Linked DNA regions of Stegostoma tigrinum. The protein of the gene in region 1 interacts with the protein of each later gene in a biochemical or structural test. Links are inferred from orthologs where the notes say so. Each region holds a gene or a part of one and is shown on either strand. Other genes may lie near its edges.

Region 1 (15,432 bases):
TTGAGGGTGAGGACGAGTTCGGCTAGGCGAAAGTCCTGTGAATGCTACATGCTACTTATCAGCCCAAGCTTAAATGTTGCCCAGTTCCGTCGCAAGTGAGCATAGACTGCTTCAGTGTTAAAGGAGTTAAAAATAGTACCAAACATTGTGCAACTGAAAATGACAGGATCTTGGAGGTTATATTGAGGAACTCCAGCTGTGAAGTACTAGGGAATTCAACAAACACAAACTTAGCAAAAGATCATTTTTTCCCGCTTCCCATTGATGTCAGTTTCGCATTTTCTGATGTCACTTTGGATCAAATTACGTGCAGCCATTCTCACCTCACTTCTGGAATTCAATGCCCTTGTCCATATTTGGGCCAAAACTGTAATAAGATCTGGTTCTGAGTGGTCCTGGTGTAACCCAGGCTTCAGTGAACAGACTATTGATGAGTAATTACCATTTAATTGAATCATAGAGTCATTGCATCCCTACAGTGTGGAAACAGGCCCTTCAGCTCAACACATCCACACCAACCCTCAGAACATCCCACCCAAACCTATCCTGCTATAACCCACCTAATCTACACATCCCTGAACTCTATGGGCAATTTAGCACAGCCAATCCACCTCATCTACACATCTTTGGACTGTGGGAGGAAACCAGTGCACCTGGAAGAAACCCACACAAACACGGGGAGAATGTGCAAACTCCACACAGACAGTCACCCGAGGGTGGAATTGAACCCGGGTCCCTGGTGCTGTGAGACAGCAGCGATAACCCATTCTCAATGACATCTTCCATCACAGCTAATCAAGAGTAGATTGATGGGTGATAATTGACCAGATTAAATTTTTCCATCTTTTTGTGAGCAGGGCATTTCAGAGCATGTTTCTACATTGATGGGTAGATGTCAGTATAATAGTTATGAAGGAACAGCTTGGCCAGAGATTCAAATAGATCTGCAATTCAGAACCATAGTGCTGCTTCTTGGCTGTGTTCAGGTCTCATAGCCTTTGCTGAATCCAACGCCTTCAATGTTTCTTGGAGTGAATCGAATAGGATGAAGACTGTGATACTGTGATTGGAGCTGAATCAGTCACTCAGCACTTCTGGCTGGAGATGGTCATAACTGCCATTGCTGAAATTTGCATAAGAATCACCAACTGTGCCCAAAGTAGCATTTTGTTCTTGTACTTAGGGCTGCACAGCCCATATAGTAAGTATAATGGGCAGGTATGTACTAAAGTATGAACATTTACAGAACAAGCGCAGAATTAGGCTAAATGTCACCTTAAGCCTGCTCCCTCACTCTTTTCTTTATAACCAGAAGTGCTCTCACACCCAACCAAATATAGTTATCCACCACCAAATCACCTGTGGCAAATTTCACCTATGAGGCAAGGAAATCAACCCCAAGTCCTCCAATATCTCCTCGCAGCTACAATTCTCCAGCCTTGGCAACATTTCGTTAAATCTTCTCCACACTCTCTTCAGAACAATTATGTCCTTCCTGTAATGTGGTGACCAGAACTATTCACAATACTCCAGTTGTGGCCTCACCAGTGTCTTATGCAGTTTCATACCCTATTTTTGTATTCTGTACCTCTGCCAAAGAGGAGAGCATTCCATTTGTCCTCTTTACAACCTTACTTACCTGTATTCCTATCATCAAGGACCTATGTATTTGCATGCCAAAATCTCTCACTTTATCTACCCAGTATATTCCCATTTATTGTGCATTCCATTTTACTGTTGACCTCCCTAAATGCATTACCTCACACTTAACACTCCATTTGCCATTTTCCTCTCCACTCCACCAAACCACATCATTTTAGAGCTTACGGCTGTCCTCTACACCATCCACTACAACGCCACTTGCAAATTTTCCAAGTGCACACCTTTCAAGTCCAAATCGTCAATGCATAAAACAAACAGCAGGGCTCCCAACACCAAATCCTGTGGAACACCACTTCAAACAGCTATCCATTCACAAGAGCAGCCACCGACCATGACCTTTTGTTTCCGGTTACACCAACGTTGGATCCAAATCAACACATTACCCTCCATCCCATGGGCTTTTACTTCTTTGATCAGTCTGCCATGTGGGACCTTGCTAAATGCCTTACTAAAATCCATTTAAACAACATCGACTGCATTACCCTCATCAATCCTCCTTTTCACTTCCTCAAAAACTTCAAACAATTTTGTACAGCATGACCTGCCTTTAGCAAAGCCATCCTGACTATCCCTGACTAGTCCATGCCTTTCCAACTGACAATTTATTCAACATTTCAGGCTTGATTCTAACAATTTTCCCACCACCCAGGTAAGACTAACTGGCTATTATTGTTCGGCAATGTTTTTGTACTCAAACAACGGAATCACATTTGCATTCCTCTTGGCCTCCTGCACCTCAACTATGTCTAATGAAGTCTGTAAAATAACTCTCAAAGCATTTGCTATTTCCTCCCTCTTCTCCTTCAACATTCAAGGGAATAGTCCTGGTAACTTCCTCTTTCATTATGCTCACTTGAGGGGTGTCATAATTGAGGTATACAAAATTGTGAGGGCTAGAGATAGAGTAGACCTGATTTTCTTGGTAGAGATTTCAAAAACCAGGGTGAAATAACTCCACAGAGGCCGGTATTCTGTCAACCAAGTCAACCTTTACTTATAGGCGTACAGCACATGAAACTGATCTAGCTCCCTCAGAGTCACCTCACAGAGTGAACAAAATCTCTGCCCCTTCTATTTATATCTGTCAGCCAGGTCTCACTGAATGGACCAGATTAACAGCCCCAATTGGGGAACTCGTATTCTATGAGGTCCTTTATTACAATCACTACACGGGGTTATAGATTCAATCTAAGTGGCAGAAGGATTAAAGGGGTCGTGAGGAAAAACATTTTGATGCAGAGGGTGGTGGGTGTCTGGAATTTACAGCTTGACTTGGTGGTGGAAGCAGAGACTCTTTTTAAAAGCATTTGGATCTGTACCTTAAGTGTTGTAAGCTGCAGAGCTACGGAATGACGGGATAGAAAGGACATCTGAGTGTCTTTGTTTTGGCATGGACAAGATGGACTGGATAGCCCCCTCTATGCTGTAAAATTTCGATCGTTCAGTTGTAACCAGCACCAGTAAATTACCCATGTTTCCAACTGTTGGCTTTACATGCAGAACCCATTAAGGGCAATGCAACAGCACCAAGGAGGGGGCTAAATCAAAATGGCATCGGAGGCGGAGAGAAGGAATTACCCCTGTAGTTCCTACCACTGTCTAAAGGCATCAAGAGTGTTGGTGTGCACCATGTGCTCCCTTTCAAACACCTGGGCAGAACATAGCCAAGGAAAAGGAGCCGGCAATTGGTAACTCTGACCTCCTCCACTGTCCCCTCATTCAATAAGATAGTTGCACATCACCTCCCGATCCTCCCTATTCTGATCATAGTGTAAGGACTTACATATAAAAGTATAAAAATGATACAGTTGATTGTGAAACTAGGATCTTGAATCTGAACAGAGTTATGAGGGGCAATTTGGAATATCATTGAGGTTACTCAGCTCAGCTCCAGGACATCTCTGCAGGAGTTCCTCAGGGCAGTGTCCCGGGCCAACCGTCTTCAGCTGCTTCATCAATGACCTTCCCTCCATTATAAGGTCAGAAGTGGCGATGTTCACTGATGACTGCGCATTGTCAGATAAATTACACAAAGAATTGTGGATGATGGAGATCTGAAACAAACAAAAGCAGAAATTGCTGAAGGAACTCAGCAGGTCTGGCAACATCTGTAGAGAAAAAACAGAGTTAACATTTTGAGTCTGGGGCTCCTTCATCAAAACTGCTCAACAACATCAATAACTTCTCATTTGCTGAAACAGTCCATGTCCAAATGCAGAAAGACATGGATAGCATATGGGTTGACAAGTGGCAAGTAACATTCAAAACCTCCACAAGTGCAGGAAATGATAATCCCTAACAAGAGAGAATCTAACCATTGTCCCTTGACCTTGATGTTCAATGGCATTACCATTGCTGAATCTCCCACTATCATTATACTGAAGGTTAACATTGACTAGAAACAGAACTGGACGAGCCACGTAAATGCAGTGTTTACAACAGCAGGTCAGAGATTAACAATTCTGCATTGAGTAATTCACCTCCTGACTCTCCAAAATGTCCACTACCTGCAAAGCACAAGTCAGGAGTATCATATTCCCACTTGAATGGATGGGCACGGCTCCAACAACACTCAAGAAGCATGACACCATCCAGCCTGCTTGATTGGTACCACGTTTTCCACCTTCGATACGCACTCCCTTCACCACTGAGGCAGCAGTGTACTTCATCAACAAGACATACTGTACTAACTCACTAAAGGTCTTTTGACAGCACCTCCCAAGCCAATGGCCTCTGCCACTTAGAAGGACAAGGGCAGCAGATATATGGGTACATCTCTGCAACCACTTCCTCTAACACTTCCTCTAAGACGCTGCACCTCTTGGTTATTTGCTGCCATTTCATTCCACTAGCAGCATATAACAATGAAAGCTACATAACCTATTTAGATATTCCTTGGTAATTTCCTCTCACTCCATTTCATCAAATCCTGATCATCATTGACTGTTTGTTAAAACCCTCCCAGTCCTTAACTAACAATTCTTTTTGACTACATTGTTTACGTTCCTTTTTAAAATCTAGTATCACCATTAGTTGTATCAAATGTGCTTGTTTAAGCCCTGTGGGGAAAGTATGAACAGTGACCAGGGGTAATACTGGGTGAGTGTGTGAAGGTGGTCTGTACTTGAAGAATGAGCATTTAACAGCAGGCAGATAACTGATACTTTGTGTAATAGACTCTAGATTCAGAAATGATTGTTCCTGTGACGATTTTTAAACCTTCACTCAGAGTGGAGTGATGGTGCATGTGTGGAATACTGAATCAAAAGAGAAGTCAGGAATAACACGGGGAATAAATAAGAAAGAAGCAGGGAGGATGTTTCCGTTTGCGGGTGAAATTAGAACTAGGAGGGCACAGTGCTAAAATAAGGGGGATCGGATTTAGGACTAAGTTGAGGAGGAACTTCTTCACCTGTAGCATTGTGAATCTGTGGAATTTCCTGCCCAGTGAAGAAGTTGAGGCCACCTTGTTGATTGTTTTTAAGGCAAAGATAGACTTTTGAACAATAGAAGATAGGGTGGCATGGTGGTTAGCGCTGCTGCTTCACAGTACCAGGGAGCTGGGTTCAATTCTACCTTTGGGTGACTTTCTGTGCGGAGCTTGTGTGTTGTCCCTGTGACCGCTTGGGTTTCCTCCCACAATCCAAAGGTTTGCAAGGCTGTGCTAAATTGCCTGTTGTGTTCAGGGATGTGTAGGTTAGGTGGGTGTGGGTGGGATGCTTTGAGGTTTGATGTGGACTTGTTGGGCCAAAGGGCCTGCTTCCACACTGTAGGGATTCTATGATTCCAGGATAAGGGTTATGGTGAGCAGGCATATAAGTGGAGCTGAGTTCTACAAAAAAAAAGCTATGATTCAAAAAATGATCTTCATGAATGGCAAAGAAGGCTTGCAGGGCCTTATGCTGTTTTGGCGCATCTCTGGAGTAGCTGGGATTTGAACACAAGCCTCCTGGCCCAGAGATATGGACACTACAATTGTGCCACAAATGTCTTAAATCAAATTCAGATACCACCATGTGCTGTGGCAGTATCTGAACCCAAGTCCCAGGGACATTAGAAACAAAAGCATAAATTATTGGAGAAACTCAGCAAGTCTGGCAATAGATGTGGAGAGGGAAACCGCGAACCTTCTTCAGAACCACAATCGCTGTTTTAGTTTCACTTTTCCAGCATTTGTAGTTCTTCGTTTTATCCCAAGAACATTACCTAGGTCTCTGGATTATATTATGTCCAGCAATCATAACACGACTCAGCATGTCCTCCAACCCCCAAAACACGTGGAAATCATTTGTCAGCTTGTCCAGCAGTGTCTGAAGGGCTGTTGTGGGGCAGCTGGTAGCGCCCGTCCCTGTGAATTAGGAGGTCCAGGTTCAAGTCTCACATGCTCCCGATATGTTTCCTAACATCCCTGAACAGGTTGTTTAGCAAATATCTACATTCGGGCTAATAAAATGTGAGGCTGGATGAACACAGCAGGCCAAGCAGCATCTCAGGAGCACAAAAGCTGACGTTTTGGGCCTAGACCGTTCATCAGAGAGGGGGATGGGGAGAGGGAACTGGAATAAGTAGGGAGAGAGGGGGATTCGGGCCGAAGATGGAGAGTAAAGAAGATAGGTGGAGAGAGTATAGGTGGGGAGGTAGGGAGGGGATAGGTCAGTCCAGGGAAGACGGACAGGTCAAGGAGGTGGGATGAGGTTAGTAGGTGGATGGGGGTGCGGCTTGGGGTGGGAGGAAGGGATGGGTGAGAGGAAGAACCGGTTAGGGAGGCAGAGACAGGTTGGACTGGTTTTGGGATGCAGTGGGTGGGGGGGAAGAGCTGGGCTGGTTGTGTGGTGCAGTGGGGGGAGGGGACGAACTGGGCTGGTTTAGGGATGCAGTAGGGGAAGGGGAGATTTTGAAACTGGTGAAGTCCACATTGATACCATATGGCTGCAGGGTTCCCAGGCGGAATATGAGTTGCTGTTCCTGCAACCTTCGGGTGGCATCATTGTGGCAGTGCAGGAGGCCCATGATGGACATGTCATCTAGAGAATGGGAGGGGGAGTGGAAATGGTTTGTGACTGGGAGGTGCAGTTGTTTGTTGCGAACTGAGCGGAGGTGTTCTGCAAAGCGGTCCCCAAGCCTCCGCTTGGTTTCCCGAATGTAGAGGAAGCCGCACCGGATACAGTGGATGCAGTATACCACATTGGCAGACTGCTTAATGTGGAATGTCATCTTGGGGCCTGGGATAGGGGTGAGGGAGGAGGTGTGGGGACAAGTGTAGGATTTCCTGCGGTTGCAGGGGAAGGTGCTGGGTGTGGTGGGGTTGGAGGGCAGTGTGGAGCGAACAAGGGAGTCACGGAGAGAGTGGTCTCTCCGGAAAGCAGACAGGGGTGGGGATGGAAAAATGTCTTGGGTGGTGGGGTCGGATTGTAAATGGCGGAAGTGTCGGAGGATGATGCGTTGTATCCGGAGGTTTGTGGGGTGGTGTGTGAGAACGAGGGGGATCCTCTTTGGGCAGTTGTGGCGGGGGCGGGGTGTGAGGGATGTGTTGCGGGAAATACGGGAGACGCGGTCAAGGGCGTTCTCGATCACTGTGGGGGAAAGTTGCGGTCCTTAAAGAACTTGGACATCTGGGATGTGCGGGAGTGGAATGTCTTATCGTGGGAGCAGATGCGGCGGAGGCGGAGGAATTGAGAATAGGGGATGGAATTTTTGCAGGTGGGTCGGTGGGAGGAGGTGTATTCTAGGTAGCTGTGGGAGTCGGTGGGCTTGAAATGGACATCAGTTACAAGCTGGTTGCCTGAGATGGAGACTGAGAGGTCCAGGAAGGTGAGGGATGTGCTGGAGATGGCCCAGGTGAACTGAAGTTTGGGGTGGAAGGTGTTGGTGAAGTGGATGAACTGTTCGAGCTCCTCTGGGGAGCAAGAGGCGGTGCCGATACAGTCATCAATGTACCGGAGGAAGAGGTGGGGTTTGGGGCCCGTGTAGGTGCGGAAGAGGGACTGTTCCACGTAACCTACAAAGAGGCAGGCATAGCTGGGGCCCATGCGGGTGCCCATGGCCACCCCCTTAGTCTGTAGGAAGTGGGAGGAGTCAAAAGAGAAGTTGTTGAGTGTGAGGACGAGTTCAGCTAGGCGGATGAGAGTGTCGGTGGAGGGGGACTGGTCGGGCCTGCGGGACAGGAAGAAGCGGAGGGCCTTGAGGCCATCTCCAGGCGGAATGCAGGTGTACAGGGACTGGACATCCATGGTCAATATGAGGTGTTAGGGGCCAGGGAATTGGAAGTCCTGGAGGAGGTGGAGGGTGTGGGTGGTGTCACGGACGTAGGTGGGGAGTTCCTGGACCAAAGGGGAGAAAATGGAGTCCAGATAGGTGGAGATGTGTTCGGTGGGGCAGGAGCAGGCTGAGATGATGGGTCGACCAGGGCAGGCAGGTTTGTGGATTTTGGGAAGGAGATAGAAACGGGCCGTGCGGGGTTGGGGAACAATGAGGTTGGAGGCTGTGGGTGGGAGGTCCCCTGAGGTGATGAGGTCGTGAATGGTGTTGGAGATGATGGTTTGGTGCTCGGGTGTGGGGTCATGATCGAGGAGGCGGTAGGAGGTCGTGTCGGAGAGTTGGCATCTGGCCTCGGCGATGTAGAGGTCAGTGCGCCATACTACCACCGCGCCACCCTTGTCTGCGGGTTTGATGGTGAGGTTGGGGTTGGAGCGGAGGGAGCGGAGGGCTGCCCGTTCTGCGGGGGAGAGGTTGGAGTGGGTGAGAGGGGTGGAGAGGTTGAGGCGGTTAATGTCTCGACGGCAGTTGGAGATGAAGAGGTCGAGGGAGGGTAGGAGGCCTGGGGGTAGTGTCCAGGAGGAGACTACATTCGGGCTCCTGGTTGCAGCGTGGGAATGTCCCTGCCTCTGGCTCCCATCTGCGTTATAACAATTCTACACAGGTTGATCAGGAAACTGTCTGGAGCAGGATCCGAACCTGGTGCCTGGAACGGGGTGTCTTGTGACTTTGTGGTAGTGGCCCTACCTCTGGGCTGGGAGGTACGCCTGTTGTGTAGTGACATCACTGAACAGGTTGACCACGAAGCTGGTGGCGACAGCGGGTCCCTGGAGCGGTGCGGTGCAGCTTGCAGCTCCTGCGCCGCGGCAGCAGGGGGCGGTGTTGAGCCGCCCTGGCTGGCTCAGTGCTGGAGGCTGGGGCTCTGACGCTGCGGCTCCTACCGGGCGGAGCTCCTGCCAGTGATAAAGAGCGAGGGTTCGGTGCTGGGCTCCTCTCAGTCACTCTCCGCCTCCGTCACACCTACACTTTCTGCAATTTATTTGATTTTGTGGCGGGTGGGGGTGAGAGTGATTTTTTTTATTTTGTGCGTTTTCTATCCTTTTTGTTGTTTGGGGGGTGGGTGGGTTGGGGTTTTGGGGGGGGGGGGGGGGGGGTGGTGGGTGCGATTGCAATAAAATGGCCGATGCAGAGGGAGACGGTGGAGAGACAGTCAATCGGTTCGCTCGCCAGGGAGCCCTGCGACAGAAGAACGTGTGTGAGGTGAAGGATCACAAGTTCACCGCCCGCTTCTTCAAACAGCCGACCTTCTGCAGCCACTGCACTGACTTCATCTGGTGAGTGAGTGAGAGAGGGAGTGAAGGGGAGAGAGAGAGAGGGGATTTACCCCCTCCCCTCCACACTGCCTTGCACAAACTCCAGTGCCATCCCCACCCTGCCCCAAAACATCAGGACAATCAAAACTTATCCCCAAACTCTCCCTGTGCAAACTTTCTCTCTCTCTCTGTCTCTCCTGATCAGATTGCTGAACTGCTTTTGCTGTCTCTCACTCTCATCCCCTCCCACTTTTGAGCTTTGCGCTGTGCTGTTTCCGAATTCCCTTTTTTCTCTCTCTTCCCCCCCCCCCCCCCCGCCCCCGTCCTCTCTTTAAATTGTTCTCTCTGGTTTCCTGATCCTCCTATTTTGTTTCATAATTCTTGTGACGTCTCGTTCTGTTTGTATTTCCTGATGTTCCTCCTGTTTTCTTGATCCCAGTGTGGGTTTTATTATTTTTGCCCCTCTCCCTCTAACGCCCGTGTTCTCTGTTTTGTTGCAGGGGCTTCGGGAAACAAGGATTCCAGTGTCAAGGTATTGGAAAGTGAATGTGTCTGTGGCTGGAGCGGGAGCTGTTTGATTTCCTCTGAGTCTGGGTTCCTGCGCCTGAACGATATATATATATATTTTTTAAAAAAAAGTTGTCAGTGATAACCAGAGAGAAAGAGCGAGCAAAAAAAACATACGAGAAGCGGAATGCTATCATTTGAAATGAACAAGTGCGAGTAGTGATCCCTTAGGCTGGGACCTGGCCTGGAATGTGTCCAGTGACGAGTTCGCCACTTAGTTTCAGTTTGAAAATGATGCCGAAATTCTCTCTTTCCCGCTCTGGCGACGTGGCGAGAATGAGGAAGTCCCAACTTCATGGCTTTACAGTAAAAGCTCTTTCCCCGCTGTGGCTGCTCATTGTTGGTTGGGTTAGTGTGTGACAGCTGGGTCCACTGCCAGTCACTGGTTCAACATTTGCATTTGCTCCTTATCCTGAGAGGTTTTTGGAGTGAGTGTGGACTGTCAGTTTACCCACTGCCTCACCGATACACGCGTTTCTCTATAGTTCTCCTGACTTCACTATGCGACCGAGTAAGGTTTACTTTCACTGGGTTACTCTCTAGAAAGTGAAGGTGTGTCAGGGCTGTTTGTATTGTATTAGCTCTTCTACACCCATCTCTGCTCGGAGACAGGCAGTGTTAGAGAGTGACATGTCCATCATGGGCCTCCTGCAGTGCCACAATGATGCCACCCGAAGGTTGCAGGAACAGCAACTCATATTCCGCTTGGGAACCCTGCAGCCCAATGGAATCAATGTGGACTTCACCAGCTTCAAAATCTCCCCTTCCCCCACTGCATCCCAAAACCAGCCCAGCCTGTCTCTGCCTCCCTAACCTGTTCTTCCTCTCACCCATCCCTTCCTCCCACCCCAAGCCGCACCTCCATTTCCTACCTACTAACCTCATCCCACCTCCTTGACCTGTCCGTCTTCCCTGGACTGACCTATCCCCTCCCTACCTCCCCACCTATACTCTCCTCTCCACCTATCTTCTTTTCTCTCCATCTTCGGTCCACCTCCCCCTCTCTCCCTATTTATTCCAGAACCCTCACCCCATCCCCCTCGGGTCTAGGCCCGAAACGTCAGCTTTTGTGCTCCTGAGATGCTGCTTGGCCTGCTGTGTTCATCCAGCTTCACACTATTATCTAGTGTTAGAGAGTGCAGTGTCTCCAACCCAGTGTGGATGATTTACATCTATTTATTAGGGCCTTTCTAGAAACATTCAAGTTTCCACCTCACGTTGTGCTCTGACTGCAGAAGTCAATGTGCACTCCCCTTCAGGCAGTCCACGCTGCAGCCCCTGTTTTTGTTAATCTTGTATTGAGAATGGGAATTAGGATGTCACGTTGTGGCTGTACAGCACATTGGCTAGGCCACATTTGGAATACTGCATGTCCTTCTGGTCTCCCTGCTATAGGAAAGATGTGGTGAAACCTCAAAAGGTTCAGAAAAGATTTACAAGGATGTTGCCAGGATTGGAGGGTTTGAGCTACAGGGAGAAGCTGAGTAGGCCAGGGGTCTTGTCCCTGGAGTGTTGGTGGTTGAGGGGTGGCCTTATCGAGATTTATAAAATCACAAGGGGCATGAACAGGGTGAATAGCCAGGGTCTTTTCTCCAGGGTAGCGGAGTCCAAAATTATAGGGCACTTGTTTAAAGTGAGGGGGCAAAATTTACAAGGAACCCAAGGGGTGACTTTTTCACGCAGAGGATGACGTGTGTATGGAATGAGCTGCCAGAGGAAGTTGTGGAGACTGGTACAATTACAGCATTTAAAAAGCAACTGAATGAGTACATGCATAGGACAAGTTTAGAGGAATATGGGCCAAATGATGGCAAATGGGACTGGATTAATTTCGGATATCTGGTTGGCATGGACAAGTTGGATTGAAAAATCTGTTTCCGTGCCATACACCTCTATGATTCTAAACTGAGGACAAGAAATAGAAATGCCCTGAGATCACCTCAGGCTCACCGTTAGCAATATGAATTGTTCCATTGCTTTTCTGCGTGACTGGAGCTCTGAGCTTGCATTTGATTGCTAGTGCCTAACAGCTGTCCCTTCCTGCTTTTCCTTTGTTTCTTAAAAAAAAGAAAATGTCTCAGAACCTTACCACTTTTTTTTGCAGCCACGTGGGGTGTTTTGCTCAGAAGGATACTCCTTCCATATTAGCAATAGCCACTGTTGCTCACATGGATACCTCTGTATCCAGTTGTTGCCAGCACCTTTTTGTCCTGACTGCTACATCCACATACTGCAGACCCTCTGCGTCGATGGAGAATCTCCAAACTTGTTCTCAAGTTCAATCTTAGCTACGCTTCTGCTTCCACGTCGAAGGAATGCATTTCCAGGCATAAACATGGCTTGTTTCGTTGCTGTTGATAGTATCTGAAACTCATGTTCTTGAAGGACCTCAGCCCAATCCTTGACTGTTGTAATATTCCAACCTTCATTTATTTGTGTGTTTGTAAACTTGTAATTTCTGTTTGAGGTTGCAAGTCACATTCGTCTGCTGAACTGGTTGCTTCATTGTTGGGAGCCTCTGGCAGCTCTGTGTCTCAAAATTATAATGAAAATGCAAGTTTCTGTTTGAGTAGAAATTTGTTTTTTCCACGGAATTTTACCCACTGGGGGTGTAACAGTGGTTATTGCCAACATGGAGGGAGTTTACAGGCAGGCGTGTTAAATTACTGTTTCCCTTTTTTTAATTTGATGTTATGAAAATTGATTATTTTTCATGCCCTCTGAGCTTCTCCAAGTTGCAAGTCAGCTGTGTGCTAATGGCCCACAGTTTACCTACAGTGCTCAGTGAAGCAGATGCTGCTCCTCAGTGTTCACAGAGCAGCTTTGATCTCTTGCTTCCTGCTGTTGATAAAACAGCCACATCGAGTGGCCAGTCTGTCCCAGGCAAGAGTGCAATGTGAGAGGTACATCCTTGTAGTTTAAAGTGTTGACAGCTCAGTTACACCCTGAAGCTGCTCACTGAGTGCTCTGGGCGGAATCTCCAAGTGTGGGTTCATTTTCTTTCTTAAATTAAAAAGGACTGGATTTAAAATTGGAATTTCTAGAAACGCTTAGTGGTATTATCACCAGACTATTGATCCAGAGACCCCCGGTAATGTTCTGGGGACCCAGGTTTGAATCCTGCCACGTCAGATGGCAGAATTTGAGTTCAATACCGATCTGGAATTAGGTTTGAATGATTAACATGAAACAATGTCAATTATTGGAAAAACACATCTTGTTCACGAATGTTCTTTTAGGGATTGAAGCTACCATCCTTAGCTGGTCTGGCCTACGTGTGATTCCAGACTCCCATCAATATGGTTGAGTCTGAACTGCCGTTTGGGCAATATATTGGTGATGCCCTCATTGTGTAAATGAATCAAAAAGACAACAAGGTGTGGAGCTAGATGAACACAGCAGGCCAAGCAGCATCAGAGGAGCAGGAAGGCTGATGTTTCGGGCAGAGACCCTTCTTTAGAAAATTTTCTGATACTGCTTGGCCTGTTGTGTTCATCCAGCTCTACACCTTGTTATCTCAGATTCTCTAGCATCTGCAGTTCCTACCACCTCTGATTTCTGGAACGTGTAGATCTCAGAGCTATGACCATGAGTCTTGACTATGTTAAAATGGTGGTCCCTAGATTTTGGTGCAGTTTGAGCAGATATGACATGTGGCAGAAGAGTGAAGTTGAAGGGGAAGTTTGGCTGTCGGTTGAATGAATGATGAGCCTGATTTGAGGGGACTGTCTCCTGTTTTATGGGGAAAACATCAGAGTGACTGTTGTTCCGTTGAATGAACCCGTCTTCCTGAACTGCTTCCTGGCCAGTGTGCCGGCTTTTTGCTGCAGCCCTTGCTCTCCTTTATGCTGCTGTATAAAGATGGGCAAGAGTGGGATGATGGTGGCCTAGTGGGGGAATGTCGTCAGTTTAGTAACTAAGTCTTATAACTGCCAGATTGTACAGTGATTCTGTTTGTGGTACACCCTCCCTTCTGTTGCAGTGAGGGGTTGGTGGAATCACGGCCATTCTCTTTTTTTTTGTTGCTTGGAATTCGGAGGAGGGGTGAACGCTGAGCTACCTGGTCAGTTACTTAAGCCCAACATGCAGGTCCTCCTGTACCCCTTTTGAGTTACAAGCTCTGAGTCATGCAGTAGAAACTCTTACTAGTATGTAATACGCATAGAGACTCCAGGAAGTCTCAGTGCTGTTTATGACAGATGATAACATTTTTAAAGTGCATTTGCAGTTGTTGTGAGACAGCTAATTAGTACACAGCAATCCACCACCAACAGTAATCTCTGAATATTGAATCAGGGATAACTCTTGACCAGGTCAAACCTCCCCTCTTTTGAAATATGGAATTTTATTACACTAACCTGAGAGAACAGATGAAATTACTGTTTCATATCACATCCAAAAAAAGCAGTGCTACTGACACTGCAGCTATCCCTCAGTGCTGCACACACACCGTGTTGACCCTGATTGGGTACGCCAATCTGAGACATTTGAAACAACGACTGTCTTATCTCCGAGGTGAGAAGGCTACCGACTGAACATTGCCTGACACTGCTGTGGTTACTCAAACACCCAAAACAAGAGCAGGCATGCCTCGCTGTGAGCTTGCTGTGCACCCACAAAAAACTCCAGGCAACACACTCTCCTCTTGGGCCGCGAAGAAAAACGCTGCAGTCAGCATCTTCGGGGTGGGGCTTAGCAGGCACTGTTTAAGTCATCATTGTTTATTTAAATGGGTGGAGACTCCCTGAGGATATGGTTCTGGTGCCATCAGACAATTAAAACAGAAGTCTGAAAGACCACAGTAACCACGACATCCTTTGACCCCGGTTAATTCTGCTGAAGATGAAATAAAGCAAAGAACTGCAGATGCTGGAGACCTAAACAAACCAAAACAGAAATTGTTGGATAAACTCAGCAGGTCTGGCAGTATCTGTGGAACAAAAGCACAGTTAACATTTCACGTTGGCAATTCTTCACCAGAGCTGTCAGTAACTGGGAAGAGGTGGCATTTATGATAAATTTGAGGTTGAGTACGGGCAAAAAGGTGGAGACAGAGCCTAGAGACAGTGAGAGATATGAATGGAGACAGTAAACAAGGAGATTGTGGATGGTAGGCTCGGACGGAAGAAAAGCTGAATAAGTGATAATGAGAGTTAGAAAATGGGTTAGCTGTGTTGAATGCAACCTATATTACATGATATACTTCGGGAATGGGTGACTGCGCTCAAAGCAGTCCATGTGGTAACAGGACCAGGTGTGCAGTGGGTTAAAAACTATGGAACAATGGAATTAGGTTTTTAGGTTAATGAACTATTGAGTCCTGGAGGCTGCAGGGTCCCCAAGTGGAAAATAAGGTGTTGTTCTTTGAGCTTGCATTGAGGCTTGCTGGATAATTGCAACAAAGCCTGTGACAGGAATGTTGGCCTGGGAACTTAGTGGTGCAGACAACTGGAAGCTTGGGGTCATTTTTGTGAATGGAGCTCTGCAAATCACTCACCCAGTCTGTGTGTTGTCTTTCCAATGTAGAACAGACCACATTGTGAGCAGCAAAGACAATAGACAGAGAAGGTGGCAAAAGTGGGGGAGGTGTGGCATTGTTGGTCAAGGACAGTATTACAGTTGCAGAAAGGATGTT
Region 2 (15,620 bases), on another chromosome or scaffold:
AAAGATATGGTGGATAGTGAGATTTGTATGGAGCATGTTAAAATTCTACGGCATTTTGAGATCAAGAAAGAAGTGGTGTTGGATCCCTTGAAGAGCATTAATGTGGATAAGTCCCCAGGCCCCAACAATATCTACTCCAGGCTATTTAGAGAGGTAAGAGAGGAGATTGCTGGGGCCATGACCAAGATCTTTGTATCCTTGCTAGTCACTGGACAGGTCCAGAGGACTAAGAGTAGCTAATGTTGTTCCTCTGTTCAAGAGGGGGAATAGGAATAATCCATGAAACAACAGACCAATGAGTCTCACATTGATGATTGAGTAGCTATTGGAGAGAAAACTTAAAGATAGGATTTTTGTGCATTTGGAAAAGCATGAGCTAATTAGAGTTAGTTAGCATGGCTTTGTGCAGCGCAGGTCTTGTCTTACCAAATTGATTGAATTTTTCAAGGTGATGATGAAGGTGATTGTTGAGAGTAGATCAGTGGATGTTGACGACGTGGACTTTAGTAAGACTTTCATGGTAGGTTGATCCAGAAGGTTAAGATGCATGGGATCCACAGTGACTTGGCCGCATGGATTCAGAATTGGCTTGCCCATAGAAGACAGAAGGTAGTGGTGGAAGGATGTTTTTCAGCCTAGATGTTTTTCAGCCTAGAGGTCTGGACTAGTGGTGTTCCACAGAGATCCATACTGGAACCTCTGCTGTTTGTGATATATATAAACTACTTGGATGAAAATGCAGATAGGTAGGTTAGTAAGTTTGCAGATGACACAAAAATTGGTGTATTTGTGGATAGCATAGAAGCTTATCAAAGGATACAGTGGGATATAAATCAGTTACAGATATGGGTGGTGAAATGACAGATGGAGTTCAATCCAGATATGTGTGAGGTGCTGCACTTTGGGAAATCAAATGTTAAGGAAACAATTAATGGCAGGACTGTGAACAGCATTGATATACAGAAGGATCTTAAGGTTCAAGTCTATAACTCCTGAAAGTAGCCATGGAAGTAGATAGGGTGGTAAAGAAAGGCATACGGCATGCCTGCCTTTATTGATTGGGGAATTGAGTCCAAAAATCAGTTTGTCATGTTGCAACTTTGTAAGACTTTGGTTAGACCAAACTTACAGTATTGCATTCAATTCTGGTCGCCACATTACAGGAAGGATGTGGAGGCTGTGGAGAGTGTGCAGAAAAGGTTTATCAGAATACTGCCTGGATTAGTGGGGTATGAGCTGTAAGGAGAGGTTGGAAAAACTTGGGTTGTTTTGTATCGAGCAATGCAGGCTGAGGGGAGACTTGATAGAAGTCTATAAAATTATGAAATGGATAGATAGGGTTGACAGGCAGAATCTTTTCCCCAGAGTTGAATGTCCAATACCAGGTGATATGCATTTAGGTTAGAGGGGGAAGGTTCAAAGTAGATATGAGGGGCAAGTTTTTAATTACACAGACAGTGGTAGGGGTCTAGATCGAGCTGCCAGAGGTGGTGGTGATACAATACAGGTATTTAAGGGACTTTTGGATAAGCACATGAATATGCAAAGAATGACGAGATATGGACAAATGACAGGCAGAAGGGTTCAATTTCATTTAGCATCATGATCGGTATAACATTGTGGGCAGAACGGCCTGTTCTGTACTGTATAGTTCTAAGTTCTCATCAATAGTGATTCATGCATTGCACAAATAGGTTTGTTGTAAATGCCACAAAGTATTATATGATATCCTACTTTTCACTGCTTTTTGGGAGGGTATCTGCTTCATACCAATTTGCTTTTAAGGTTTAATTTCCAGTGACAGAAGTCAGGTTGCGCCCACTTGCCAGATAAACCTTGGTTTTTAATTTTCACCCAGGACCATCTTTTGGATTTCAGGTTACTCTATGGAATAGTTACATACAAAAAAAAACACTTACATACAAAACTTAGTAAATTTATCCTGTCACAGCAATGGCATCTGATACTGAAGGGCTTAACAGTATTAATAGGAACTGAAACCCCAGCAAATAGCAAATTGTCACTCACAGAAAAGGAAACAAATACAAGGATAGACATGGGCTTGATTTCTGCAAAACAAGAGGCATTTTCTACCTGTATATTCTGTGTCTCAAAATAGTGACCGTGTTTATAAACAGTGCCTTTGCAATTTTACTACACAAAGCAGACAAGAGAAAATCTCCTTTCTGGAAGCTAATATTTGAATAACGGCAACATTATAAAAGGAATTGTAGCTTTATTCTGGGTAGAAGCTCTGTTTACATGCTCAGTTGTTCAGCCGTGGTGACATCAGATTCACATGGAATTGGGGCTTGGGTCTTTAGGCTCTTAAATGTCCCTGCTTACCATCCTTTATACATAGTTCATTGAAACCTGTTGCTGTTTACTTACAGTAATGTAGATCTCATTTTATGTCTAAACATGAAATAAAAGTAAAAAATACTGGAAATACCAGGTCTGGCAGCAGCTTGGAGAGTAAGTTATTGTTTCATGTTTTGGGGTCACATTTGCTGATGAGAAATAATCAAAAGTGGCATGGTGGCCACATTCAGATCAGCCATGATCTTACTGAATGGCAGAACAGACTTTTTTGAAGATTTAAATAGCACAAGTAGCTAATTGGCCTTGAGTGGCATCTGTTATTCAATAATATCATACTGGCCTGTTCATATTTTGAATTTCATGTTTCAATCTCCACCAATCAATTTCTGTCTCAAATATATTCAACGAGCCCACTTCTACCTCCTTTCAGGGTATTATGTTCCAAAGTTGTGCAACTCTCAGAAAACAAGAATCTCATCATCTGTCCTAAAAGAACAACTTCTAATGTTATGATAGTGCTCCTAGTTCTGAACTCAACAGGAAACATCCTTTCCACATGTGCCTTATCAAGGCCATTCAGGATCTTATACACTTCAATCAAATCACCCCACGTTCTTTCTAATTTCAGTAAAAACAAGTCCGGTTTGTGAAATACTTCCTCATAAGACAACCTCCTCATTCCAGGTAACAAAGGTAAAAGTAGGCAAAGTTACCAAAGTATCAGAGGACATCAAGGCTGCTCTGTTATTAGAGAAAGAGAGAGACAACTGCTGGTGGTTTAACCTGAGGGTTGCTGTGCCTCAGATGAGGGGAAAGGTTGAGAAGGAGAGTCCTTCATGGTGATCTCAGCTGCTGTGGACATGGAACCCATGTTATTGGTCTCACTCTGCATCACAAAATAACCATCTAGCCAACTGAGCTAACCGACACTCTTCTAAACCTCCTCTCAATCACATCTAGTGCATTTACATCCTTTCTTAAATTAGGAGCCCATACTGCAAGCAAGATGTTACTTCACTAGATTAATCCCAGAGGCAGCAGGCTTCTCTCATGAAGACAGATTGAGCAATTTGGGCTTAAACTCACAAGAATTTAGAATGAGATCTGATGCAATATATGTTAAAGAGGACTGACAATGCCGATGCAAGTTTCCCCTGTTGGGGAAATCTGGAATGAGAAATCAGAGGTTTAGAGCAAGAGGGTGAGAGATCTAAAACGGATATGAGGAGGAATTAAGTCGCTCATGAATCCGTGGAATTCACCATCCCAGAGTGCAGTGGACACCAGCACACTGAATAAGTTTGAGGAGGAGATCGATGGATTTTTAATTAGTAACAAGTTAAAGGGATGCAGGTGGGGAACTGGAGTTGGAACCAAGATGAAATTGACAATGAATGTATTAAAAGGCAGAGCAGGATCAGGGGGCTAAATGGCTTACTTCTACACTGAGGTTCTAACAATGAGTTTTTAAAATTTTCTGCAATTACTTTTGCTACAGCACCTGGGAGGTTGGCTTTGCTTGGGTTGTTTCCTTTGGAGTAGAGAATGTTGACGGGAGATCTGACAGAGGTGTACAAAATTGGGCAGCAGGGACAGGGTGAATAAAAAGCAGCTGTTCCCTTTAGTCAAAGGGCAAGAACACAGGTACACAGCTTTAAAGCGAAAGGAAGGATGGTTAGAGGGAATTTGAGGGAAATCTTTTCACTTGGATTGTGGCAAGTGTCTGGAATGTACTGCGAGGGAATAGTCGAGGCAGGTGACCCCAAAACCTTTAAAAGATACTTGGACGAACATTTGAAGTGGCATAATATTCAAGCTATGGGCCCAGTGGGCAAAGTCGGATGAGTGTAGGTAGTGAGTATATACTGCTTTGGCCGTACAGACCCAATGGACAGAAGGGCCTCTTCCTTCTGAATGATTCTAAATATGTTCTGAAAATACAAGTATGCTACATCTAGAGGTTCATCTTTGACCACAGCACTTGTTATTCCTTCAGTCGTCTAATAATGATTTTTCCTTTACAAAACTATGCTGACTCATCCTGTTTACTTTCAGTTTTTTTTCCCAAAAACGCACCCTCAACCTCTTTATTGATGAATTCTAACACCATTCCCACAATAGATCAGAAGACAAGGGGCGTGGAGTTACTGTCTTCTGCTTCCCTCCCTTTTTGCACAGATGGGTTATACATGTTTTTTTCAATCCTAAACCTTTTCTTGCAGGCATCATTTTGATGTGTCTATGATTTACTTGCTTACTTACTGGGACTCGTTTTTCACTAATAATGAGACACGATTTATCATGAGAGGTTGTTTATTATTGTTGAAACACAAGATATATACTTGTAATTCTATAAAACCAAATGTCCATCTAAAGGCCTGAGTAGACTTACATTTCTTAAAAGACTATGTGCACACCAGTTTACTATCTTTTGCTTCCTAAAAGAGGGTTTAAAGAAGTTTGTACTACCCTGACTACAGCTGGACGACCTGAAGTGGAGGCTGCCCTTCTCGCTCCCAAGGTTCCAACTCCTTGTGCTAATGTTGTCTGTAGAGTGTCTGATTTGAGTTGTCCCTTTAAGTAGTTTTCTAGGTCATCCCCAAGTACAGTGGCTTCCTATCATTCACTTTGTTGGCAGGGTAACTGACATGCAGATTCATCCTATGTAATTACAGCAGTTTGATACAGCAATGTAGTAACATCATTCATGTAAATGAAATTCTGTCCCAGGAAAAGGTGTTACAAGAGGACTTTGTAACTTCCCTACTGACTGAAATCGATCCTAGGAGCCAGGCTGTCTCAAGAACAGCTCTACCAAAACTCCGATTTTCATTCAATCCAAGATTTCATAGCATTGAATAAGTGTTGATAAGATCAAGGTAAATATCTTGTACATTGTCTGGCCTGATCCAATTTGACAGTGAATTCTGCAAGCTTATTGGCTTTGTTTCTTTCCCAGCATGCCATTCAATTAGCCAATGTTGCTTTTAGTGTGCCAAAAGGGCTATTATTTTGTTTAAAAGGGACATTCCACTGCATACATTCTGATGCCTAGAATACATTGCCAGAAGAGATGGTAGAGACTGATGCAATAGCTATACTTAAGCAGCATCCCGACAGATATGAAGGAGAGGGACAGGGACTGCATTGAAGCAAAAGACCTACTTACAAAGCCATAATATTTTAATGCAGTCTTGGCGGGCTGAATTGCCTGTTATTTGTTCTAACCTGCACCTGTCCAAATAACTGAAAATCACCAGTTTTAAAGCCATTTTAGATAACAGTTCCTCCATTCCTTCTCAGCTCTTGCAATCTTTTCTAAAGTGGGATGCATAGAATGGAACTAAATATTTCAGCTTTGGCCAACTAAAAATTCCATAAGATTTTAGCATTAACTCTACTAATGAAGTCAAAAATCTTAAATGCTTTTATTCGCATTCTTAGCTTGACCTGCTATCTCATCCAGATTTGTGTAACACACCCCAAGTATCTCCTTCAGAACTGTACTATCTGTTCAGATTGTCCATTGCATTTTTCCTACAAGATTCCTCATTTCACACTTTTTCATCATTAGCCACCCTTAAGATTCGGGTAAGGCACTTCTGGAACTACCACAATGTACATGAACAACTGCTTCCACTGTGATGGTGGGTTTGCACATTTTCCTCATGTTTTGCGTGGGTTTCCTCCACAGTCCAAAGATGTGCAGGCTAGGTGGATTGGCCAGGCTAAATTGCTTGTAGTTTTCAGGGGTGTGTGGGTTATAGGGGGATGGGTCTGGGTGGGATGGTTCAAGGGGCGGTGTGGACTTGTTGGGCCGAAGGGCCTGTTTCCACACTGTAGGGAATCTAATCTAAACAACTCCAGGAATCTAACCAAGACACAATAATAGAACAGCGATAGACTTCCAAGTTAGGATGGTGTGTGGGGTTCAGAGGTGTTGCCAGAAGTCTGCTGATCCTTGTCCTTCTCGGTGGTACAAGTCACAATGGCAGAGCGTGCTGCTTCAGAAACCTTGGTATTACAAAGCAACAAAGATTTTCAGTAAAAACGTATTTCCTTTTTGAGCAGATATAACACAGTGTGGAGCTGGAAGAACACAGCAGGACAGGCATCAGAGGGGCAGGAAAGTTGAAGTTTTGGGTCAAGACCCTTCTTCAGAAATGGGGGGAGGGAGATGGGGTTGGGGAAGGTAGGTGGGATGGTGATAGGTGAGTGCAGGTAGGGAGTGGTCAGTAAGGTGGGAGGGGATATGGGCAAGTTGTGTTAGGTCAAGGAGGCAGGGATGAGAGGGAGAGTTGGTTATGGGATGAGGCCTGGGGTGGGGAGATTTTGAAACGAATAAAGTCCACATTGAGAGCGTTGGGTTGTAGGCTGTCGAGGAGGAATATGAGGTGCTGCTCCTCCAGTTTTTTGGTGGCATCACTGTGACACTGGAGGACGCCCAGGACGGACATGTCACCCTGGGAGGGGGAGTTGAAGTGGTTCACGATTGGGAAGTATTGTCATTTGTCACGAACAGAGCACACGTCCTTTACAAAGCGGTCTCCGATCCTCTGCTTTTTCTTTTTTGTAAAACTTTTTTGGAAATTAAAGCACAGAGTTAGTAAAGCAGTTAAACTCATTAACTTTAAGACAACATTAAAAACATTTGAGATAACAAAGTATAGAACTGGATGAAAACAACAGGCCAAGCAGCATCAGGGCAGCAGGAAATTTGCTCACTAAGGTAGCGATATTGATTGACCAGCAAGGCAGGGAAGGCACACTGCTTAATCATAAAACAAATATTTTGACCTCCTACCAGAACAATCACCCTGGAGTTCGGAACAAATGCTTATCATTATCGATAATAAAAAAAGGACTGCTTGGGCAAATGATTAACAAGTTAAAACAAAAAAAACTGAAACTGAAAGGGGTAAACAATCTGCGCAAACGCACTAGCTTCTTTGCTTCGGACGGAAGTTCATGACCTAAGGAGGGAACTTTTGCTTCTGTGTCCACAGGTACAGCGGGAGTTGTTTCAATTCAGAAATGTGAGTGTGTGTGGAAGAAGTCTGATATACCCGGGGGGTAGTTAATGAGGAGGTTACTGGGTGGACTTGGGCAAGGCGGCTCACTCGGGGAACTTTCACGTTGATGTCTGCACGCCGTGAGAGCCGCAGCACTGAGTGCGGTTTAGTCCCAGTTCCTCACAGCCGCAGAGACTTTCCTCCTTTCGCTCCGTGTCCGGGAAAAGAGTCGTCTTCCACGTGACAGGAGAGGAAGTCGCGCAGGCTCAAAGGGGACACTTTGTATCCCTTCATGTATCCGTTCGGGTTGCAATTTGAAACCAGTCTCTGCTGCAGCACAACTTTAATTGTGTTAGATCCGACGCCGCGGCCTCCTGTTACAGCACCGCATAAACCCTTCCAATAGTTCCCTATTAACTCCACAAATATTTATCTCCTTAACATGCTTTGTTCGCGATTCTGGGGGGAGGGGGTGTTATTCAGTATCTTTCACGCAGCTATTTTCCTCATTTGTAAGTGATTCTGTTGACAGGCCCAAAATAAAGCGCACTGCTGCTTTAAGGGAAAATGATGCTGCAGATAAATGCGCTTGATCTCTTCTGCGTCCCAGAACATTATAAAAGCCGTGCCACCGAATGATTCACAGTCTAAGGGCTTCTCTGTACACCTCTGCTGACTGACATATCAATGCACGGGTACACTCTGCTGACAGGAGGATCCTCCTGGAGTACATTCACTAGTCACCATGCAGTGCTGTAAACAGGCTAATCTCTGACTAGTGAACATAGTCCAGGTGGATATTTTACCTGACATTACTGGTACTAGTCTGTTTCACTTCAGTGAAACATTAGTCAGTGGGGTTTTATGGAGATGTCCTTTGACTACCAATTATCTGTTCGTTGAAGAATGTTAAAATGAAATGCTTTGGGATGTGTAAGAGGGTGTGTACTTTACACAACAGTACTTGTCCCTGTAGGGCTGCTCTTTAAAGAGTTTGCAGCACACGTGTACAGAAGATAGACAGCGTGAGCAGTTTAAATGTTGCGTACTGTTCTTTGTTTATGCAACTACTGTTTTATATTAAAATTAATCACTTACATGGTCAGGAGAATCCTGAGATTCTACTACAGTCGGTAAGTTTTTTTTGAGAACTCTTTAGTGTTTAGAAAACACCGTTTATGTAGGTCGCTTTGCAGAACTGGATGTTTGTGATTGTATCTGATTGCTCTCCCATCACGTTATTTTAGAAATAGTTCATATCAATATGACTCTAATGAAACAATTTCTTATACTGTTGCTTTTTAAAATTTGACTTTTTTAGGAGAAGGCAAAAGAACACAACGTGTAGTCAAATAAAGTTGTTAACAGCAGCATTTTAGTGATGGAGATCAAAGAACATACTTTTCGATGCAGCAATTACATTTGGCTTCTTCCCTCTGCATGTTTCCCCACAGCTACTGTTGAGGCATCAATCCACACACTGACAGCTATTTTTGTGAGTCTGCACTGCGACTTTTGGACTGCATCTGATCTAGGCCCTGTACATTTGCTGGCAGCTGACATGATTTCCGCTCTCTGCCTCCGAATTTGAATTTTGGGGTGCCGGTTAGAGCTTGCACACTGGACTGCTCGGAACCAACGCACAAAGCATTAAAATGAGGGGAGGTGATGGCCTAGTGGTCTTAGTGCCTGACTATTCATCTGGAGACCCAGGTAATGACCTGGGTAACTGACTTCAAATCTTATCATGGCAGACGGTGGAATTTGTATTCAAAAAAAGAGAAATATGGAATTTCAACGTCTAATTTGACCATGAGACCATTGCTGATCAACAGAAAAAGTCATTTGATTCACTAAAGCCTTTTCGGGTTGGAAACTACAATCCTTAGCTGGTTTGGCCTACATGTGACTCTAGACCCATTGCAATGTGTTGATTCTCAACTGCCCTCTGAGCAATTAGAGATGGGCAATGAATGCTGGTCCAGCCAGTGATGCCCACATCCTGTGAACTAAAAAAAATCTGATCATCGGTTCAGAATTTTATGGTCTGAGGAGCCCAGATAATAGAAAAGATCTGATTGGTCGGTCAGATCTCCCCGAACTTTGACTGATTTTTGCTTACCTGCCCTGACGATGCTCCATGTGGCTTATGTCATTTTTCTTTTCTCTGGCCCTGCTCCTGTGAAAAGCCGTGCAATTGTTTACCATGTTAAAGGCACTGTATAAATGCAAACTTTTGTTATAGAGTAGGCCTCTCATTTGTCATGAGCTTATTGTGCAGTAAAGTGCCTTATAATTGGAATTTTTGTTGAGCTGACATTAATTACAGATTGTAGAGCATACTTTATGGCACTGTTCACACATTGGTATGTAAGTTGAAATAAAACAGACTATAATTAAGGGATTCAAAAAGGAAAGAGGGATACACAGAGTGTAATTTTATTTTCAAGATACACTTAGAAATACAATTACTTTGAAGAGAAGCGAATGTATGCATATTAGTGGATAAATCCCGTGACCTGATTAGATGTACCCTGGAACTCTGTGGGAAGCTAGGGAAATGATTGCTGGGCCCCTTGCTGAGATATTTGTACCATCGATAGCCAAACTCCAGTCTTCCATCACCTCGCTTGTGGCTAACATGGTGCCACTATTTAAGAAAAGTGATAAGGAAAAGCCAGGGAACTATAGACTAGTGAGCCTGACATCAGTGGTGGGCAAGTCATTGGAGGGAATCCTGAGAGACAGGATTCACATGTACTTGGAAAAGCAGGGACTGATTAGAGATAGTCAACATGGAATTGTGCATTGGAAATTATGTCTCAAGAACTTGATTGAATTTTTTGAAGAAGTAAAAAAGAGGATTGATGAGCACAGAGCAGTGGACGTGATCTATATGGACTTCAGCAAGGATTTCAACAAAATTCCACACGGTAGACTGGTTAACAAGGTTAGATCCCATGGAATGCGGGAGAGAACTAGCCATTTGGATACAGAACTGGCTCAAAGGTAGAAGACAGAGGGTGGTGGAAGGTTGCTTTTCAGACTGGAGACCGGTGACCAGTGGTGTGCCATAAGGATTGGTGCTGGGCCTACTGGTTTTTGCCACTTGTATAAAAGATTTGGATGTGAACATAGGAGGTATGGTTAATAGAGATAATGGGAACTCCAGATGCTGGAGAATCTGAGATAACAAAGTGTTGAGCTGGATGAACACAGCTGGCCAAGCAGCATGTTAAGACCATAAAAGCTGATGTTTTGGGCCTAGACATTTCATCAGAAAAGGGGGAGAGGATTCTGAAATAAATAGGGAGAGAGGGGGAGGTGGATCGAAGATGAATAGAGGACAAGATAGGTGGAGAGGAGACAGACAAGTTAAAGAGGCAGGGATGGACCCAGTAGAAGTGAGTTTAGGTGGGGAGGTAGGGAGGAGATAGGTCAGTCTGGGGAGGACGGACAGGTCAAGGGGGTGGGATGAGGTTAGTAGGTAGGGAACGGAGGTGGCTTGAGGTGGGAGGAGGGGATAGTTGAGAGGAAGAACAGGTTAGGGAGGCGGGGACAAGCTGGGCTGGTTTTGGGATGCAGTGCGGGGAGGGGAGATTTTGAAGCTGGTGAAGTCCACATTGATACCATTGGGTTGCAGGGTTCCCAAGTGGACTATGAGTTGCCGTTCCTGCAACTTTCGGGTGGCATCATTGTGGCACTGCAGGAGACCCAGGATGGACATGTCATCTAAAGAATGGGAGGGGAAGTTGAAATGGTTCGCAATTGGGCGGTGCAGTTGTTTATTGCAAACCGAGTGTAGGTGTTCTGCAAAGCGGTCCCCAAGCCTCCGCTTGGTTTCCCCGACGTAGAGGAGACCACAACGTGTACAGTGGATGCAGTATACCACATTAGCAGATGGGCAGATGAACATCTGCTTGATGTGTAAAGTCTTCTTGGGGCCTGGGATGGGGGTGAGAGAGGAGGTGTGGGGGCAGGTGTAGCACTTCCAGCGGTTGCATGGGAAAGTGCCGGGTGTGCTGGGGCTGGAGGGGAGTGTGGAGTGGACAAGGGAATCACGGAGAGAGTGGGCCCTCTGGAAGGCAGATAAGGGTGGGGAGGGAAAAATGTATTTGGTGGGGTCGGATGGTGGAAGTGTCGGAGGATGATGCGTTGGATCCGGAGGTTGGTGGGGTGGTACGTGAGGATGAGGGGTTTGTGTTTTGGCGGTTATTGCGGGGACAGAGTTTGAGCAATGAGTTGCGGGAAATGTGGGAGACACGGTTCAGGGCATTCTCGACCACTGTGGGAGGGGGAGGGATGTTGCAGTCCTTGAAGAACGAGGACATCTGGAATGTACGGGAGTGCAATGCCTCATCCTGGGAGCAGATACAGCCGAGGCGAAGGAATTGGGAATAGGGGATGGAATTTTTGCAGGAGGGTGGGTGGGGGGAGGTGTATTCTAGGTAGCTGTGGGAGTCGGTGGGCTTGAAATGGATATCGGTTTCGAGGTGATTGCCTGATATGGAGACAGAGGGGTCCAGGAACGTGAGGGATGTGTTGGAGATGGTCCAGGTGAACTGAAGGTTGGGGTGGAAGGTGTTGGTGAAGTGGATGAACTGTTCAAGTTCCTTGTGGGAGCATGAGGTGGCGCCGATACAGTCATCAATGTGTCGGAGGAAGAGGTGGGGCTTGGGGCCTGTGTAGGTGCGGAAGAGGGATTGTTCCACGTAACCTACAGAGAGGCAGGCATAGCTTGGGCCCATGCAGGTACCCATGGCCACCCCCTTTGTATGTAGGAAGTGGGAGGAATCGACAGAGACTGTAGGAAGTGGTTAATAGGTAGGTATGGTTAATACTTCTGCAGAAGACACCAAAATTGGAGGTGTGGTGGACAGTGCGGAAGGTTATCTCAGAGGACAACGGGACCTTGATCAGATGGGCCAATGGACCAAGGAGCAACAGATGGAGTTTAATTTAGATAAATGTGAGGCGCTGCATTTTGGAAAGGCAAATCAGGGCAGGACTTATATACTTACTGGTAAGGTCCTGGGGAGTGTTGCTAGGCAAAGAAACCTTGGAGTGCAGGTTCATAGCTTCCTCAAAGTGAAGTCCCAGGTCAACAAGTTAATGAAGAAGGCATTTGGTATGCTTGCTTTTGTTGTTCAGTGCATTGAGTATAGGAGTTGGGAGGTCATGCTGCGGCTGTACAGCACATCGATTAGGCTTGTTTAAAATTCTGTATACAATTCCGATCTCCTTGCTATAGGATGGATGTTGTGAAACTTGAAAGGTTTCAGGAAAAATTTATGAGAATGTTGCTCGGATTGGAGTGTTTAAGCTATAGGGAGTGGCTGAATAGACTGGGGTAATGTTTCCTGGAGCATCAGAGGCTGATGGGTAACCTTTCAAAGGTTTATAAAATCATGAGGATCATGGATAGGGTGAATATCGAAGGTCTTTACCCCGTGATGGGGGAGTCCAAGACGAGAGAGCATAAGTTTAAGGTGAGAAGGGAAAGATTTGAAAGGGACCTGAGGAACAACTGATTCATGTAGAAGGCGTTGTGTGCATGGAATGAGCTGCCAGAGGAAGTGGTGGAGGCTGGTACAATTACAATATTTAAAAGACATACGGTGGGAATATTAATAGGAAGGCTTTAGAGGGATATGGGCCAAATATTGGCAATTGGGACGACATTAATTTAGGATATCTGGTCAGTATGGATGGGTTGGGCCTCTAGGTCTGTTTCCAAGCTTTACAGCTGTATGACTGTATGTATTTGCTTCAGTCTCTTCTGTACCATGCACCATATTCTTCCAAAGAAGGTATTCTGACCAGGCTACAAGGAGTTTTGCCACAAGCGTGGGCTCGCCCCCACAACTAGCTGTGTTGGCCCTTGATCCAGAAAAGGAACTATCAAAATACTAGCAGGAGCAGGCTATTCAGCCTTTCGAGCCTGACTTGTTATTCAGTATGATCATTGCTGAACCTCCAACTCAGTACCGTGTTCCCATTTTCATCTCATACTTTTTGATCTCTTCAGCCCTAAGAACCGTATCTAACTCATTGACAAATTTCAATGTTTTGGCCCCAACCACTTTCTGTGGCAGAGAATTTCATGGGCTCACTACTATCCGAGTGCAGAAATTTCTCCATATCTCAGTTATTAAAGGCCTGTCGCATTTCTTCGACTGTGACCCACGTTTCTGGATTCCCTGTCATCGGGAACATGCTTCCTGCCTTTGCCCTGTTTGGTCCTATTAGAATTTTATAGATTTCTGTGAGAGCTCGCCTCATTCTTCTAAACTCCTGTGTGTATAATCCTAAAAAATCCAACCTCTCTTTATATCATGCCAGGAATCAGTCTCCTCCTTGCACTCCCTCCATCGCCAGAACATCCCTTTCTCAGATAAGGCCACGAAAACTGCACACACAACTTCAGTTGTGGTCTCACCATCGCCCTGTACGATTGTGGCAAGACTGCTCTGCTCCAGTACTCAAATCGTCATGCAATGAAGTTCAACATACTATTTGCCTTTTTTGCCTCCTGCTGCATCTGCATGCTTAATTTATAGCGATAGGTGTATAAGGACATCTGGATATTGTTGCACATTTCCTTTTCCCAACTTAGCACCATTCAGATAACAATCTATTGTTCTGTTTTTGCCAACAAAGTGAATAGCCTCACATTTATCTATACAGTACTTCATTTGCCATGAGTTTGCGTACTTGCTCAACTTATTCACATCACGCAGAAGTATTTCTGTGTCTGCCTCACAGTTCACTCTCCCACCCAGCTTTGTGTTGATTGCAAACTTGGAGAGATTACTTTTAGTCTGTTTAACTCATTAATCTATGGTGAATAGCTGGAGTTTGACCTTGCCACTGTTATCTGAATACTCTAATATTAAATCTTTAACAATGGACTGTAGCGATTTTCCTAATACCGATGTCAGGCTAACCGGTCAATGATTCCCTATTTTCTCTCTACCTCTGTTTTTTTAAATAGTAGGGTTATGTTAACTACCCTCCAAGCCATAGTAATTGTTCCACGGTCTGTAGAATCTTCAAAGATGACCAATACTTCCACCGTTTCTAGGGCCACTTCTTTCGGCACTCTGGGTTGTAGATTATTGGGCTTTGGGGATTTATTGACCTTTAATCCCATCAATTTTCCCAACATCACTTCTCAACTAATACTGATGTCCTTCAATTCCCCCTTCTCACATGACCATTTATTCTCCAACATGTTGGCAAGTTATTTGCACCCTCCTTTATGAATACTAAACCAAGATATGCATGTAATTGATCTGTAATCTCCTTGTTCCCCATGATAACGTCTCATGTTTCTGATTGTAGAGGGCCTATATTTGTCTTCACTAATCTTTTTCTCTGCACTTCAGTGCCTATTTGATAAGTAAAGTTTCTGAAGGAGACTGAAAATGTAAAGTTTAATGAAAACCATAGAAAATTAGGGGATCACGTTGCTGAAATATGACTGTGGTCAAGTTTGTCCTCTTGGGTAGAAAATATGTTTAGTACAAGCTATGACTTCTTTCATTTTTTATTTAATTTCAAATTATAGATCGTTTATGTGTGGGGTGGGTGGGTGGGAATAAATCTTGAGAATCCAGCTCAGTGTTTATGGCACATGTGCTGTTGAAATAAGTGTATAGAGTTGCCTAATGATGGGTTTGTGGGAATCGTGAATGTATCAGCCTCTTGGCTTGTGGCCCATTGGCAAACTTTTGGAGATTATAATGTCATTTCAGCAAAACATTGAACAAATTGTCAAAAACAAATGTCATTACATGTCAACAGATTTTAGGAAGTCACAAAAACAAATTGCAAGAATCCACAGCAACGATTGTTTCATCTTGTTCCACATGCACAACATTTGCTGCTCTATCTTCAAAATATAAATAACTTAAGTACTGTGGCTATTTGAAACTTAGTCTGTTTAGCTTAGTTTTTTTTCAGCTATTCATGTTTTTTCTTCCCATAAGTCTTGGTTCATCTATTTTAGTTGTGACTGTTTATTTACAGAATGTCTGTGAATGTTTGTCCTCCATCACGGTGAAAGAAGTCAGTGCTAAGGAACGGAATATTTCCAGTTTTAGCACCAAACGTCAGAATTATGGAACCTAAGCTGTGAATAGCACAAGACTGATGCAGAGTAAACATTTTTTTGGTTTGCTGTATGTAGTTGAATCCCAATGCTTAAAGACAGGAACATTCCTAACTAAACTAGTGACATTTCTTCAATTTATGATTTGTGTTTTGAGGCCTCTCTTTATGAAA

The links.
Region 2: of the proteins of protein kinase C alpha type (region 1) and mgmt, one has a biochemical effect on the other in vitro, tested with the Homo sapiens proteins (2 studies listed by BioGRID). The link is inferred for Stegostoma tigrinum from reciprocal best matches to the Homo sapiens genes PRKCA and MGMT.

Annotation. Positions count from the first base shown.
Region 1 is NC_081375.1:8,920,426-8,935,857, forward strand, and holds the start of protein kinase C alpha type, read left to right. Parts: upstream 1-9,081; 5' UTR 9,082-9,093; coding exon 9,094-9,251; intron 9,252-9,730; coding exon 9,731-9,762; intron 9,763-15,432. UniProt on the Homo sapiens protein: Calcium-activated, phospholipid- and diacylglycerol (DAG)-dependent serine/threonine-protein kinase that is involved in positive and negative regulation of cell proliferation, apoptosis, differentiation, migration and adhesion, tumorigenesis, cardiac hypertrophy, angiogenesis, platelet function and inflammation, by directly phosphorylating targets such as RAF1, BCL2, CSPG4, TNNT2/CTNT, or activating signaling cascade involving MAPK1/3 (ERK1/2) and RAP1GAP.
Region 2 is NC_081373.1:34,861,947-34,877,566, forward strand, and holds the start of mgmt (methylated-DNA--protein-cysteine methyltransferase), read left to right. Parts: upstream 1-7,229; 5' UTR 7,230-7,328; exon of another isoform or gene 7,329-7,358; intron 7,359-15,620. UniProt on the Homo sapiens protein: Involved in the cellular defense against the biological effects of O6-methylguanine (O6-MeG) and O4-methylthymine (O4-MeT) in DNA. Repairs the methylated nucleobase in DNA by stoichiometrically transferring the methyl group to a cysteine residue in the enzyme.